Oreochromis niloticus: one gene and its partner. The protein of the gene in region 1 purifies or fractionates together with the protein of each later gene. This does not show direct contact. Links are inferred from orthologs where the notes say so. Each region holds a gene or a part of one and is shown on either strand. Other genes may lie near its edges.

Region 1 (8,149 bases):
GACACACTTAACCACACAGCTGAAAGCCAAGCGCCCCAGGAGCCGGGGAAGACTGAAAAGCCGCCCAAATTTGCCAGCTTGACATCTAAAAAGCGGAGACGCGAAGGCTCGCAATTCCCCACAGCCGAGCTGATGTTTATTCAAGCCTAATGCACTGCTGCATTATTCTATTTTCTCCCCCACCCTCGCTTGCTTCTTCAAACCTGCCTGGTGTTTATTTAGAGTAATTCTCTTCAGATCACAGCAGAAGAAGTGTGTCATCTCCACTGTGTCGTGTGATTTCAGCAAGAGGTTAAAAATAACATAAAACACATTCCAAATCTAACTATAACTGTATATTATGTACATAAATAAATATAAAGTCTGTATGTAGTCTTACTGCATTACGGTGTCTATATTATACACTTCCCACTGAATATGCTGTGTGTTATTGTGTTTTGTTTTTTGTAACATGAATTCAGATGATGAAGCGATGTAATAAAAGCGGTCGGTGGGAAACTGCACAGCTGCTCGTCTTTTACAAAATACATTATGTATGTACAATATATGCTGCTGTAGCTATCATTGGTCTTTTATACATTAAAGTCAAGATGTGATTTACCACTTCCCGTGGCTTTTTCCCTGCTCGACAGAGGCGTTTTAACAGCAACAGCTAATCATGTTTATGCTACAGATGTTGCAGCTGGCAGTTTGCGTTTGTCACATTCACAGTAAATGCCACTGTGGTGTAAATTTGGCTCTTATCTCTAACAGCACCCCCATCGGTGCGACTCCAGCCAAGGCCCTTTGCAGTTCAAAGGTTTCTGTGCAGGTTTTTGGCTGCTGAAGTGCAATTCCGAATTTATTTTCATGTGCCTGGAGGTTAATATGGATCCTCATTAGTCTTAAGTGCAGCTCCTCAAATGTAAAAGCTAAACACCGAACCAGAGACGCCACAGCTGTTCGAGGCAGAGTGGAACAAGTGTGCCGGGAGGAGGAATGCAGGCAGTTTATAGATATTTTAGCCTCAGGACAGTGACCAGTAGCCAAGTGATTCACTCTGATATTTATTGCAGAGGAAGCTTTAAATCATAAGTGCTTCTGACAAACGACTCCCGGTGGCGTTCAGAGATGATGCTGGTGACCTTGTCTTGCCGCCTTAACCGCACCTGAGTCTATTCCCCCTGACAGCAGTAAGAGGGAGACACAAAGTGGTCTGCTTCATTCTGCATCCTACACTTGGAAATAACCTGTAAACACCTGCATCTGTCAACATCTGCATCAACGCAGCAGCAGAATAAAGCAGACATGCTGTGCAGTCAAGCACTTATGAGGCCCACAAAACTATTTTTAATTCTAGTAAAGACCCTAAAGTTTCTGGAGACTCACTGGCTTGAGTGTGTATAAAATCCTTTATGTGGCGCCCAGTAAAAACACTATACGGCTTCAATAAAGAGCTGGAACAAACAGAAGAAAATGACAGATACTGTGAATTAAGAACAAATTTTCAACCTCATTTCCTCGTCATTTTGGGGAAAACAAATGGGAAAAGGTGCGTTCATTACTGATGGTGTCATCACGGTGCTGGCACTCGTGCAATCCCTCATCCACAAACGCTGTCATCACTTTGCGGCAAACTCGACGTGTAAATTTTTACACGCGTTTGTTTTGCCTGCGTTTTAATCACAGCTTTGAGAAAGAAAGTATATGAGTGCAGTTTGTCGTGTTAACACTATCAGAATATTCATTTGCAGACTGAAAATTCATCATAGATGTTTACAAGTCAATGTCACTGTGACAGTTTTGTCACAGTTGTCGCGTTTGGAGCTTTTAAAACACCACAGGTTGAAATTTGACTGTTTTCATATCCGTGATCACTGGGGCGAGAAAAATCATCAGCTGAAGATTATGAGATGCACTAAAATGAAAAGCTCCTGAGGAGAATCTCAGTGGTTACTGACGCGGATCTGTCTACTGCCAATACTGCCTCCTAGTATCCAACACACACAGGGCGACTCCATCTTGCATGTGTTGTGTTTGGATTGCTCTGTATTCTGGTTGTGTGGTCTTGATAAGGGCTCACTGTATAGTCTAGGACTGATTCTCAGTTTCAAGATTGTGTGTAGCATGATTGGATGTAGTGCCGTAATAATGCCTTTTATCTTTTATCAGTATTAATAAATGCATATTACAGCAAACAAGAAAAGAATGTTGCTCCTTCTGCAAAATAGGATTGTCCTGCAGGGGCAGCCCGAGGTTCAGTACCAATTAACCTGCCAAAAACAGAATATTTAAGGAACTGCTCTCCTGCAAGGCTCCTGTGCTCTGCTAGACACTGAATGCCTAGAAAGTGTGGAGAAAAAAAAACCCCACAGGACTGACAAAAACCTCCAGGATCAGATTTTTTTTAAATGAGAGAAAAAAAACCCTGAAAAAGAACATAAAGATATTTCAAAGTATCTTTTCAGGACAACTTGTAACACCTACATAAAACTTGCATGATTCCTGGAGGGCAGAAACATATTCATTTGGGATTTTGTGAGAGAATAAGGAGGAAGGAGCAGAAAAAAATACTATGAGAATCTCATTTCGTCTGCAGCTGCAACGATGGAAAGCTGAAATAGTTCACATAATAAAGGAAATAAAGGAAGTCATTTTCAGTGATTATCTGTCAGCTTTCACTATGTCATATAGACCTGCTTTCTTTATATTTTGTAAAGTGCAGCAGTTCCTTTTTTCTTTCTATTAATGCACCACATCCTGCAAAAAAGCTCTGCTCGCATTGTCTCGTTGGCCAAAACGCTTTTCATTCATTTTTCATCAGTTCTTTTTTTCATCTCTCTCTGCTCTAATTTTACCATTTTGCTTGAAAATCATACAGCTGCTCCCTTCAGTGCATCTTAATGAGATCTGAGTCAGCAGGGTGTATTCTGCTTCGGCATGCCAGAGCACAGAGAGGAATATTTGTGTCACACAGCTGGCATTTCATCCCAGCTCCCTGCCTGGGTTGTACGCGGATCATCCTTCCATCAGCACATGACAACGTACAGAAGGTCATCAGCGTTTTCTCTCGGACTATGGACAAAATTAAATAACACAAGGGAGGCAGAGGTTTCTCCTAACTTATTTCGGATGGGTCATTCTGTAAAGCACTGAAATTGGTTTACTTCCTAAAAAGGACATCAGTGAACACCCAGAGGACAGCAGAAATGAAATGGGACAAAGATATGTAGATTGGCATGCCTGGAGAATAGAAAGACTAATGCTCTTTAAAGAAAAACTATGAAAAGCTGCCACCTGCTGGATCTGTGGTGAAAGCACGGTTTCAGTTAACTTCAGATGTGCTTGATACTCCTCACAATAATGCTGCTTGGAAAAGGTGAAAACTGGCCGGTGGTATTAGTTTGTGGCGGTACTGACATTTTCTTTTTAAAGCTACAAGTCTGTATTAAACAGTTATGCTGTGAATATCCTCACCTAAGACTCAGCACTGTTTACTGTTTGGTTAATCCAGCTATGAAGACGTTTTTACTCTAGAGATCCAAGTCAGTGCAGTTATGATGACTGCAGCAAGTTTGTGTTTACAAGCACAGAAGTGCAAATTTTGCTTAACCTGCTTTTTAGATCTGAGAGTTTAATTTGTATTCGATGTTTTGTGATGTTTTGAAGAAACTGTGTGTTGCATAAAGGGATGGAATGCCTTGGTGTTCCCCCATTTAAGCTGGAGGAGGTGGTTGGGGAGAGGGAGGTCTGGGTTTCTCTGCTTAGGCTGCTGCTCCTACTGATGCCCCCTACCTCCCGGATAAACAGAAGAAGATGGATGGATGAATGGATAATAACAATTTTTCATGCCATTTATTGCAGTTGATTGGAAACTCCTGTCAGAACTGAAATTAATTCTTTTCTCTCTCATGCTATATGCAATGCTCACTTTCTGGCCTGTTTTTTAAATAATTTATTAATTTCATTCCCAGAGCAAATGAAATACAGAGAGACTTTATGTTGGGTGATTTAGCTTTGTCCATTGGTTCGACAAACTTTGAAATCAATTTGAATCTGGACAATGATTCTTGATTGTGAAGGAGATCCTTCACAAGAGATAAAGTGGAACATTTAACTTCTGTAATTTTCATTGCACTTTTAACTGTAACACCCACTCACTTGTCGAGCCCGGATTAACTCACGCTGATTTTATTGTTTGGACTTCATCATTACAAGATCACATGGGCAGGTAAGAAAGCAAGAACAGTCCTCATCTTATTTTTACATGTAATATAAGCAGACAATTATATAGTGGAACATCCATGATGCATATCAATATACAATTGTCATGCCCCTAAAAGTACAGCATATTTACGCTACTTAAATATGCTACGTCCAGATGAACAGAATCAACTTTTGGAGATTTACTTACCTTGATGATTGAGCATGCATCAAGACGTACAGCGTATTTACATTGTGAACAGGAAAACCTTCACAAATAATCCTCTATTTAAAATAACTTATAGAATAATTTGTGTCTCCTTTCATGTAAAAATGCCTGAACACCTTACACACTACTTAAAATGACGTACTCACTATTATACATTTCTTAAAATATAATTATTTGTCTTTTCCTGTAAAGCCTTAAATTATTCCCTCTTATTTTAGTGCATCTACACCGTTTGTTGCATGCTATAATATAAAGGGCAACCAGTACATATCTGTTCTGAGATAATGCCCAGAGCATTATCTCACTGTTAAATATGAGACCTCCTCTTTATTTTTTACATCTTCTTGTTACAGTGTTTGTTTGAAACCTGTTGATCGCTCTAATCTGTACAGAACCTCATTGGCTGCTGACTGTTGCCATGACAGCGCCAACCCGCAGACGCTTCAGAGTGAAGGATTGTGGGTAATAGATACACATATCTGTAAGTCTGAGATCCTTTGAGAAGTGAATACCTGTCCTTTCCAATATTTAAGCGATTAAACACCATCGCGATGAAGGTTTGTACCAATAAATTAATTTTATTTTCATTCACTCATTCCATTCGTTCCACACGCATGCGCTTCAGTTAGCTGGATGCTAACTGCGTTTATTCACCTCCTAGAAACCAACCGTTAGCCAAGTGTTAGCTGAAGACAGACTGAACGTCGACCAAAGTCCGCTAAAAATGTGTGTTGCGTTGTGTATTATCCAACAATCGAAAAAACAGGCTGTTTGGCAAACATAGTCACAGTAATGATAACTAAAAGCTCTATACTCACAGCTAAAATAATACCCATAGCACCTTTCTCCTGTTTGTCACCCGTCTGTTTAAACAGCGTTTTTTGTGCGTTTTTGTTAAAATATTTTAGGTTGCTGATCTAATCTTCGTAATGATAATGCAGACATGAGTTTAGGCAAAGTTAAAATAAGTTAGTTGTCACTTTTCTGTTTTATAAGTAACTTCTGCAGGTGTATTTTGTTGCATCCAGTGCATGGGTATGTTGTACACCTGGCTATCTGACACGTTTGGATATAGTTTGATTAAGGAGCTTTCTAGATGATGCTTTAATATGTATTTAGAAGCAAATAAGATGAAACTGTACGTTGAAGTGGCACTCCATCAATTTAGTACTGTATGTCTCTAAGGTTGGGGCGCTAACATGAAAAAATAAATTAATTGAATTGCTAAAACTTATGCCAGAGAAACACTTTGAACCTCTCCAAATGTTCATCCTCCCCATACGTAAGTGTCTTTCAAGACTGTGGTGTGTGGATAAATAGGTGAGAAATGTGAAGTGATACTAATCAATAAAACAGATTTATGTAGGGAAACAATCAGTTACCCTCCTGTGAATCGTTGGTTTTTGATATGCCTACATTTCTGACAGACCATCAGAAAACAATATTTTCTTACTGTACACCTTAGACGTGCAGTAATTTATAGAAAGACCTAAACTTAAACATGGCTATATCTATTGGTGAATTTAAAAGCATCATAAGGAATTAAATGTAATAGACCTGTGTGTGTTTTTCCCGAGAGGCCACTAATGGTTGTATATTGTGTATTATGTTGCAGATTTTGTACTTATATTTGTAGAAATCTTTGAGATGTTCTGAGTTTGTGCAGTTATGGAGTTTGGTGTAATGGGATGCCCAGGTTGTAATGCAAATGCAAATTGGTAGAGTGGGAAAAAAACTAACCAATAAGGACATCTTTAAATCCACAGAGTGTTTTTGTGCTCGCTGAAAAAGCCTGGGCGGGATCTAACTTGCTGTACAAGTGGCAGAAAAGCCTTGGTAATTATATCGCTGTTGCAGGGTGAGTATGTCATTTTGGTTAACAAAATAGCTCTGAGAAGGCTGTGTAACAGTCTACTAATTGTCTGTTGACTGAGCTTTATTTTCAATCACACAGACAGGACAACACAGTCAAAATATTTGATCGACATGGACACAAGTGGACTGAAATCAACCTTCCAGGGTAATTGTGATAAAATCACTCAGATTCCAGTTTTGTGTCATCTAACAGTTTTGGCTGATTACCACTGAATGTTCAGGTTTTCTTAATAACTTCCTTTCTCCTCTTTCTCTGTAAGGCGCTGTGTGGGGATGGACTGGGATAAGGATGGGGACATTCTGGCAGTGATAGCTGCAAAATCCAGCTCCATCTTCCTCTGGGATGCCAGTGTCAGTAAAACATCCCAGATAGACAGCGGTATGAGGTACGACCATTTCAGAGGGAGAAAATTTAACCCAATCATTCTACTACAGTTAATTGTACTGGCTGAATAAGTGATGCAAGTGTTAGTCATTGAATAATTTCACTGCAAATATGTTTTTTTCCCTGTTTCAACAGAACACTAACTTTGAAATAAGTAAAGCTAAACGTTTTGTGTTCTCATTGTTGATGGTTTCAAACAGAGATCAGATGTCTTTCATCTTGTGGTCAAAGACTAGCCCGCTGTTGGCAGTCGGAACAGTCAAAGGAAACCTGTTGATCTACAATCAGCAGACCTCACGCAAGATCCCTGTGCTGGGTAACACACAACAAAACTGTATATATAATCTTGGATGGTTTAATGGTCTTTAGTCTGTTCTGTAATATTGATTCTCTGTCTCCTTCTCTCCACACTTGATAGGCAAACATAGCAAGAAGATTACCTGTGGCTGTTGGAGCTCCCAGAATCTGCTGGCCCTGGGGAGTGACGACAACACGCTGAGTATCAGCAATCATGAGGGAGACACCATCAGACAGGTAGTCAAATACAGTAGTGTGCAAAAATCTTGAACCAGCCCTCATGTCTTATAATTTTTTTTAAAGTTCTTTAACAATAGTTTTCCAGTTTTTCTGAAGGTCTTTCAGAGTTTTTCTTTAGACATTTGCTGCTTTTTCACTCATTTTCACTTCAGTCTGTGCTTTGTTTGTTAAGCCATGTTATCAAGGGATCATTTAAGCATAAAGAAGGCTAACTCAAAGTGTGAACCAGTGTTGATTCTTTACATAACAGACAGCTTAGCAAGCAGGCAATTTTAAGTTGTATCTTTAGGCATTTTGTTACTATAACCCTGTCACAAAAACACATAATTTCTTTGGTTGAATCTGTGAAAAATGCCAAACATAACACAGTGTGACAGGCGTAATGTAATAGTACATAATGCACAATAATACATAATAGTATTTTTGCACCAACAAGGTGATTCCCAAAGAACTATTAGCAGACCTGTTTGTTAAAGCCATATCAGAAATGGATTCAGTGGAAGGGTGGATGTTAAGTAGCTATTCAGGAAACGCCAAATTAAATCTGAACTGGACTAAAAATCTGTCACAGCATTCCTTATGGACCGAGTGTACTTTCTGATCTTTCGCCAGACGACGGTTCGCGGTGAGCCTGCTGAAATTTACTTCTCGGTGATGAAGACGGATGAAAGGTCAGCTCAAGGAGAGAGCACAGTGAGTCTGTTTTCTGCTAGTTTCAAATTGAACCTGTGCTGGAGATGAATTTTAAGGTCTGTTTGAACATGACTGATCTGGGATTTGCAGAAAATTTCAAATAAATTGTTCGTATGAAGGTGATCAAAGGTTTAGGATGTCTGAAATGTGTCATGGAAAAAGTGCACATTATTCTACCCTTCAGGTGAGTGTTTCTGTGGACAAGAAGATACTGATGCTTTTCAACATCAACGACCCTGGAAACCCAA
Region 2 (7,872 bases), on another chromosome or scaffold:
CATAACCACAAAAGCATTAATAGTGGATATATAATGTATGTGAGGGGCTGTACCCTCTTGTTCTCATCTCTGTACACCGCCATTGCTTTGCTGTGCTGGATCCTTTGCTCTCGTTCACTGGCCAGATCGAGACGGTCTGCTTCTCGGAGAGTCTCTGCTTCCTTTATTTTATTGGCCAGCTGCAGCTTTATTGCTGCACATTTCTCCTCTATTTGTCTCTTCAGCTGCTCTCGCAACTCCTTCCTATGGAGATAAAAAGAGCAGCTTTTCTTTGCCAGAAACAACTCTTGCTGTTGTTTTTCAATATAAAAAGGTCAATGCTATCCTCCACTATTTTACCTGTACTCTTCTCTCTCATTGCTGGTTCCATAGAAGGGTTTTCGCCATACCTGATGATATCTGACACAGCAGCTTTCAGTCATTGTCTTTGAAGTCAGCTCTTCAAAGAAAAGATGGAAATGGAACAAGTGATTCAGTGATAGTGAAATTATTTAGTGCACCTACCTGTAATGCTCTCTTCTCTGCATGATCAGTGTCCTCTGGTGGTTGTGTTGGTGAACATCTGGTGTCTCCAGACTGACGGTGCGTTTATGGACAAATGGTGGGTGTAAAGGGTTCAATCTGGGAATACTCTAAGGAGGATATTTATGGATCAGTTTGTTTTTTTCTTGTTGTTTTTTTTAAAACAATATATTTCTATGATAAACCACACAATTAAGAAATCTCTGCATACCTGATTGCTTTTCCAAAACTGTGCGGAGTCTGAAATTACGGGAAATTTCACGGTTGTATCCAACAGGCAGCGACCTTGCCGGACAGGAGGTGCGCGAGGAATACAGACTGGTGTGGAAGCTATGGAGATGGCTGCTGTGAGGATAAAGAAGTGAACAGAATTAAAGGAGAAACTTTTAAATAAAACCAGTAATGCTTAAAAAAAAGGACAACAAATGGAAAACAAAATCTCTCCTTACGTAGTTTCATCTTATACTTCACACTTCTATTCGCACACCAGAGGAGTCCAATGAAACTTTCAAAGCTTCCAGAGCTCTACTTTTCCTCTTAAAGGTGTAGTTGCCTTAGCATTAAATCAACATGCAACAACACATAAAAAAAAATAAATCCAAATTTAAATATACCGGATTGCTATGTGGTGCTGCCTAGAGATTATACTGACGTACCGATGTATGTGTTGAGTATCTTGCGGTGGCAACAGTTGCCTTGGGAATCAAGTTACACCCTGTCAAAAGAAAGCTACTGAATGGAGTGGTACGCATCAATGCACTCATAAAGAAAGATTAGATTGTGCCAATAGCTATATTTAGGGGGTGTCCCTGGATCTCATCTATGTAGAAAGCCTGAGGCAAGAAGGCTGAATAAACCACTCGTGGATCATTTCAACTTTTAACCAGCTTAAAACATTTTATTCAACACATAATAAAAGTTCTTAAAGGTTAGCCAGCGTAATACTGCATAATATTGAAGAAATTCAGGATTAAAATTTCAAGTCCTCCATAATGCTAATATTGTTATATTGTTGGGTAACTGCAGTTTGTGTGATAGAAGTGATTTTCTTGTTTCTGGTCCTTCAGATTCCCAGTTTCTCATGGTTCTCCCACAGCCAAGCATGGTACTTGTTTAGCTTATGATCATCAGGTTTTACCTTTGACACAAGAATCGAAAAAAGAAAAAATTAAACTTGAATTTAGAGCAAACAAATGAGGAAGCAATGGAAGCAACTGAAGTAAAATAGTTGGGATTATACCCACCTGTCTCCACTCATTGATACAGAAGATCCTGTACGAGTCGTTGCCGTACTTTCCAATACCGTGCAACTCAATAGGGTAACGCCACTGTTTAGTTAGATACTCATCTACACCAGAGAAAAGGGATTGTGAGGATTTTTTTTCTGTTTCATATATTGTTACTAAAACCATGCAAAGACTACCAAAAATGAACAATAAAATTACAATAATATATATAAATAAATGGACATTGCATGTGCACAAAGGTAGTTGCTGCTGTAATCCACTAACAGGCAAGAATATCCACCTGAGAAGCGGATGAGTGTTTTGGCTCTAAGCTCATACAGGCCAAGTGGCTTCATAAGTTCAGACATGGGCTTCCAGTCGGCCTGTCGGGTCACCTCTGCAGATGGATAACGCTCAAAGAACTGCCACAGGACTGGAATGGCCATTTTACCTGTATTAAAGAAATGCCAGGGTTCAGCAAAGCTTAATGCAACATCCTGAATAATTAAATGTGTGTGTTGAATCCTACCACTGGTTTTGTTCAGAAAAACTGTGGCTACCAGCAGCTTCCAGGGATCATGGAAAAGAGTTTCCTGTACGAGGTTGAAGGGAGACCGGGGAGGTGTCCACTTCTTGAAGGCCTTCCTCCTCGGTGGGCTAAGTCCTGAGTGTGGACAGTGCACATTTCTTTAAATTACACACTTTATTTATTTCATGAATGTTGATATACATGTCCGACGTAAAAGCATCCAGTTTCCTGCATTAAACATTACCATCTCTGCTGGATTTCCCACTGAAATAAGGACTTGTTTTCCGCTTGCCTTCCAAGCTTTTGGACTCTAAGCAGACAGGAAACATTTATGGATATTAGAAGAGTGAAGCTGCTTTACATCTTTTGGTTGGGTTCAAAGTTAAGTACCTCATAAAATGACACAACAGAGAAAATCATATATTCGCTGAGCACAAAGTGGTGGAGTCCTATGATGGCTTCATTAATGCAGTAAGATTACTCAATCAATTCTGTCCTCCCTTAGACTAATGATGTGATGCACTCTCTAACAATGGACTATTATTCTTCGCCCCCTCTTTATCAGATCTAAATGTATGCATTTTTTTTTCTATTTGGAACATTTTGTGTCAATTAAGGCATTTGGTTTCTTTGATTTTTATGTATTTCTAGCTGCAAATATAGAGGATAATGGAAGACATAAATAACCACTAATGCACTGGATAAGCTCAAATTAAACAGCTAAAAAAACATGAAAAACTTTTACAAATTGTCAGTCAGTGTGGCTCATTCTTACTATTCTGGGATTCTCGAACTGGTGTACAGCTCCCATCAGTGGTATCAGGTAACAACGCATGTTCTTCAGCATCTTGACGACTGTCATCGCCAGTCTCCAGGTCAGAATTAGGAGTGTTGTCACCTTTGCTTTCATCACCTTTTTTCTCGCTCTCAGCGGCAGGTTCAACATTCAAAATCGGGGCCGAAGGCTTCAAATCTGCTTTCTTGTCCTCTTGAAGAATAGACGTGTTTGGTTGATTACTTAAAGGAGCCAGTCTGAGTAACTTCTCTCTCAGTTGGCCTCCTCTTTGGGGGCTCTTTTGCAGTTGTACATTGTCCACTTTTTCTGCGGTCAAAGCTTGTAAACAACCATTTAAAGTTTCAGTAGTTTTGTCTCCATTCACATTCACTTCTAATACACATGCAGTCTTCTGTAGTTTAGTGTCAGCATCAATATGATTTGTGTCGTCTGCCGTCCTCACTTTTCCGCTTTTAGTATCACTTCTGAGGGAGGAAGAGGCTTGTTTGGATTTATTTGGAGGTGCCTCTAGAATTGCTGTTTCATTTTCTGTTTCCTCCTGCTGTCCCTCTAAAGGCTTTTTCTTTCCTCTCCTCTGCTTTACTTTGGGAGGGGGTGCTTGTGAAGGGGTGACAACATCATCTTTGGATGTGGTGAAATCAAAGAGGCTTATGTCTAAGTTACCACTTCCACTTTCCAGGAGGAAAGTGCGTAGGGATGCTCTGGACCGGAACCTTTGCCCTTCGGGACTTAAACAACAGGAAAATCAATTAGATGCTGATCTAAGGGCTTCTGTGGTGCACTTACAGGTAACATCTTACAGAGACAAGATTGTAAAAAAGACCAAAACTGAGTCACCTTGTAAAGTAGACATCTAGTTTGCCTGCTGTCTTGCCTGCTTTCCGCTGCCTCACTTCTCTGATCCAGCCAGGGGGCAATGCGGAAGAAGGGCACAAAATCTCCCCTTCTTTGAGACTTTGATGATTCATGTCCACACTGCTCTCCAGTTCAGTATCTTATCTAGTAGGATGCATTTTTAGTTTCTTTGGAGTCCTGTTGAAGTGAAGACAACGAATAAAAAAACCTTGGCTTTATTGTTAAACTATGAACCTGTAGTTCTTGTTTTGTTCCTGCGAGTTTACTTGGACATTTACAAAAACAACACATACAAGGCGTTTGCTCATTCTACAGTTTGCTCACATAAAGCCACATTAAAAAAAAGGATTGCTGGATATTACTGGGCAGCAGATCAAAAGCAAAGAGCTAAAACGTTAACAAAGGCGTGTGCAGCATACATGAATACTGATCAGGCTTTAGATGTGCATCTTCTTGTCTCGACGTGGCTTTACCGAGTTCTTTCTGATGTCAACACAGAAGCAGGAAGTAGCGAGCAAGTGCGAGTCTGCGCAGTGCGAGCTACTCGCTACAAGAAACGGTACAGGGTGAAAAAACAGAACCAAGCGAACTGCAGCAACCTGTTGACAAAAGAACCTTTGGTGCTTTTTTTCTGTTAAAGAGCGGAAATGAGAGCTGTCCTAGCATGGAAGGAAACGATCCGTGAGCAATGGTAGGAATCTGAGTGATTAGGTTTGCGCTGTCAGCCTCGTCCCGATGCTCAGATGTAACGCTAGGTGGTTAGCAACGGTGGTTGCTATGTAAACTAGTGTTAGCCCGCTAACTAGCTTTAGCATCGCAGCGATTCCATTATCATCAATGTGTGATCTTTTATATCGCTCTCATATTAGATGTCGTGCATTATGTATTTTCCATAAGTACAGTAGCTTATGATGGTTCTTTGGTAACCGATATAATCATAGACGTAGGATCTCTAGTTCTCATTACGGTTTATTTTGTTTGTTGTGCAGAATTGCGTGCTCCTAATAACATCTTTTTATTGAAGAGGCTTTTTAAATAAGGTATTAACTTGTTTGCCATTATTTCCCATTACATTCTTGTCAGGAATTAAGGTAGTCCTGTTTAGTCTAGCATTTAAATGATCAGACTTCCCGAAAAAACAAAAACCGAGTAGGTGTTTGGAGAGATGTTTTTGTGCTGTTTCAGAGGGAGAATGGAAGTCACAGAGTAACTCATAATACTCTAATGATACAATGCCCACTAAAATGTTTATATTGTGATCAGATCAAATCACAATACTTGATATGTTGCAGGAGTCATCTTGGATAGATGGTTGTATCTGAATAGGAAAAATATGACTCCCCAAAAAGGCAAAAGCAGGACTTGTATACTTAGCATGATAACTGCAGTTATCATACTAAGTATACAAGTCCTGCTTTGTTTGAGTGAGACAATGTGGGATACGTTAATAATGCTGAGAAGTCACTTGTAACATTTTAACAACTTTATTTGTTTTCTAATAAAAACATGCTGTAGTTTTTAATTAGATATTTCCAACTTCTTATATGCATAAATGGAAGTTAACTTTTTTGGTGGTGTGATTCAATTAATTTTGAGCCACAGATCACTCACATTTTTTACTCTGACATTAGACAAAGACGTAGTCCAGTCCATCTAAAGTTTGTGACATCTGCTGGTGTCCCTACCCCCAGTGGACCCACTAGGGATTTTTATTCATTTTATCTATAGAGGTTTTAATTTCCTGGCTCAAAACTCCATGCACGTAAGCACAATTGATCCGGATATAGTCAAGTAAAAGAGTGAACGTTTTTACCAGATGGTTTAACACAGTCTTTGAGAGTGAGAGGATGCCTGAAGAATGGAGAGGTGGTACTGATTTTTAAGAACAAGTGTACAGTAACTACAGAGGGATAAAACTCATAAGCCATACCATAGCTATGGGAAAAAGTGTTGTTGAAGGTAGCTTAAAGAGTGAGGTAATGATCAGTGAGCAGCAGTATGGCTTCATGCCACGAAAGAGCACTACAGATGGGATTTTTACTTTGAAAGTGTTGATTGGAGACGTATAGGGAATGTCAGAAAGACGTGAGCTGTGTCTTTGTGGATCTGAAGAAAGCATATGATAGGCTGCCAGGAGGGGAACTGTGGTACTGCATGAGGAAGCCAGGAGTTGCAGAGAAGTATGTGAAGGTGGTGCAATGCAGGACATGTATGAGGACAGTGTGACAGTGGCGAGTTGTGTGGTACAGATTGGTTCGAGGTGAGGGTGGGATTACATCAGGGATTGTCTTTGAGCCCCTTGTTGACAAGACAACATTGTGATAAATAGTGAGAGTGGGGAGCAGTTGGAAGAGAGCTTTGAAAGGTGGAGGCACGGACTGGAAAGAAGTATAAGAAAGACAGAACACATGTGTGTGAATGAGAGGGAGACAGGTGTAACAAGTTTTCAAGAAGCAGAAGTAGTTAAGGTGGACCAATTTAAATATCTGGGGTGAACCATCCAAAACAACAGACAGTGCACAAAAGAGGTGTAGGAGAGAGCACATGCAGGGTGGAGTGGATGGAGACGCGTGATTTTCCTTGTTGTTAGGTGTAAACATTTTTTGGATGTTTTGTGTGTGCGTGTGTGATTTTGAGCAGCTCCCACTTACTGTTTTTAAGTTTTGTTACTTACTGTTGTTAACCCATTTTCACACATAAAAGCCTAAAATTTGATTAAAAAAGGTGTTTTCAGGGGATAATTATCCACAAAGCACAACTGAGTAATATATAGTTAATGCAAAGTGTCTGAGCTACCTTATGTAACAGAATCAACAGAAATGTAAGTATTTTCCTGTTTCTGCCTAAGTTGCATAAATTAGAAAAATGTAACTTATGCTCAGCTAATGTTTCCCCACTTAAAGAAATAGTTGGAGGAATGCCAAATCTCATTTAGGGGAAAAGCCCTGAATTTGTTAATTTCAGAACATTTGGTTTGATTTGTTTGCACTTGTTTGTCCTTGCTAAAGATGTCCTCTGTTTCTTCAAACTCTGAATTTTATGGGTTGTTTTTTTTTTTGGTTTATTCGGTGTATGCAAAAGAAAAAAAAGAAAAAGTCAGTGTGCTATATTAAAGAAATTCCCTAGTTCAATACTGAGAGAAGACACTGGAGCTCCCAAGCTAGTTCACTCCTAATTCCAGTCGCAAACCCCAGATCAGGGAGGGAAGGTTGCATCAGGAAGGGCATCCAGCATAAAATCTGTGCCAAATCAAATATGCAGATCCATCCGCTGTGGTGACCACTTGGGAAATAAGGTTGCAGCTGAAAGAAAGTATTAAAGAAACATTGGACACTTGCAAATTCTCACACTTATGAAACTGGAAGCCATTATTCTCCATGCTTCACAGTGAGTGTTTTCACACCGAAACAGATTGTGTGCATCCTTGCAACCTAGCAGAACTGTTGAATGTTTTCCCTCTTCATAGGAACCTGATTTTTTTAGTGTTTTTATTTATTCTTGGTTTTTTTTCACCAGGATTCTTAACGTCTATATTTCTAATATTTCTTTCATATTTCCTAACAACATATTTACTAATTCACAGTGTTGCAGTGACATGTTTTGGCTTTATCTTCACTCATAAGTTTGTGAATTCCTCCAAAACCTTCAACAGAGTTGCAGGGTTGCAAAACCTTCCCTGTGTGCATTTTGGCACACAGCAATAACGTACTTGTAAAATCCACCTCCATGGCACTGCTAGAGGTCAAAAACTCCACAGGGAACCTCCATTATATGATTTCAGTGATGAATGGATCCTCATAGCTGTTGCTCGTGAACTAATCAATTTATTGAAAAACCATTTGAACACGGATCTGTTCTTTTGGGTTTTTTTCTGCAGCGTTTATGACCTCGCCTTCAAACCAGATGGTAGCCAACTCATAATTGCTGCAGGGCTTCGTGTCCTG

What was found. Proteins that work in one complex are often made in the same cells at the same time.
Region 2: the proteins of wdr19 (region 1) and ift122 purify together in Homo sapiens (affinity purification with mass spectrometry; 4 studies listed by BioGRID and IntAct, counting the BioPlex papers as one, with this or other methods). This does not show direct contact. The link is inferred for Oreochromis niloticus from reciprocal best matches to the Homo sapiens genes WDR19 and IFT122.

Annotation. Positions count from the first base shown.
Region 1 is NC_031971.2:22,157,681-22,165,829, reverse strand, and holds the start of wdr19 (WD repeat-containing protein 19), read left to right. Parts: upstream 1-4,816; 5' UTR 4,817-4,962; coding exon 4,963-4,968; intron 4,969-5,065; exon of another isoform or gene 5,066-5,137; intron 5,138-5,620; exon of another isoform or gene 5,621-5,731; intron 5,732-6,177; coding exon 6,178-6,269; intron 6,270-6,365; coding exon 6,366-6,431; intron 6,432-6,546; coding exon 6,547-6,672; intron 6,673-6,871; coding exon 6,872-6,987; intron 6,988-7,089; coding exon 7,090-7,205; intron 7,206-7,820; coding exon 7,821-7,901; intron 7,902-8,085; coding exon 8,086-8,149. UniProt on the Homo sapiens protein: As component of the IFT complex A (IFT-A), a complex required for retrograde ciliary transport and entry into cilia of G protein-coupled receptors (GPCRs), it is involved in cilia function and/or assembly.
Region 2 is NC_031984.2:14,357,309-14,365,180, forward strand, and holds the start of ift122 (intraflagellar transport protein 122 homolog), read left to right. Parts: upstream 1-4,463; 5' UTR 4,464-4,575; coding exon 4,576-4,619; intron 4,620-7,805; coding exon 7,806-7,872. Other genes in the region: uncharacterized protein LOC102076950, read right to left, coding at 1-243, 340-399, 505-632, 734-867, 972-981; mbd4 (methyl-CpG-binding domain protein 4), read right to left, coding at 1,586-1,660, 1,767-1,870, 2,050-2,199, 2,278-2,412, 2,522-2,587, 3,053-3,801, 3,911-4,041. UniProt on the Homo sapiens protein: As a component of the IFT complex A (IFT-A), a complex required for retrograde ciliary transport and entry into cilia of G protein-coupled receptors (GPCRs), it is required in ciliogenesis and ciliary protein trafficking.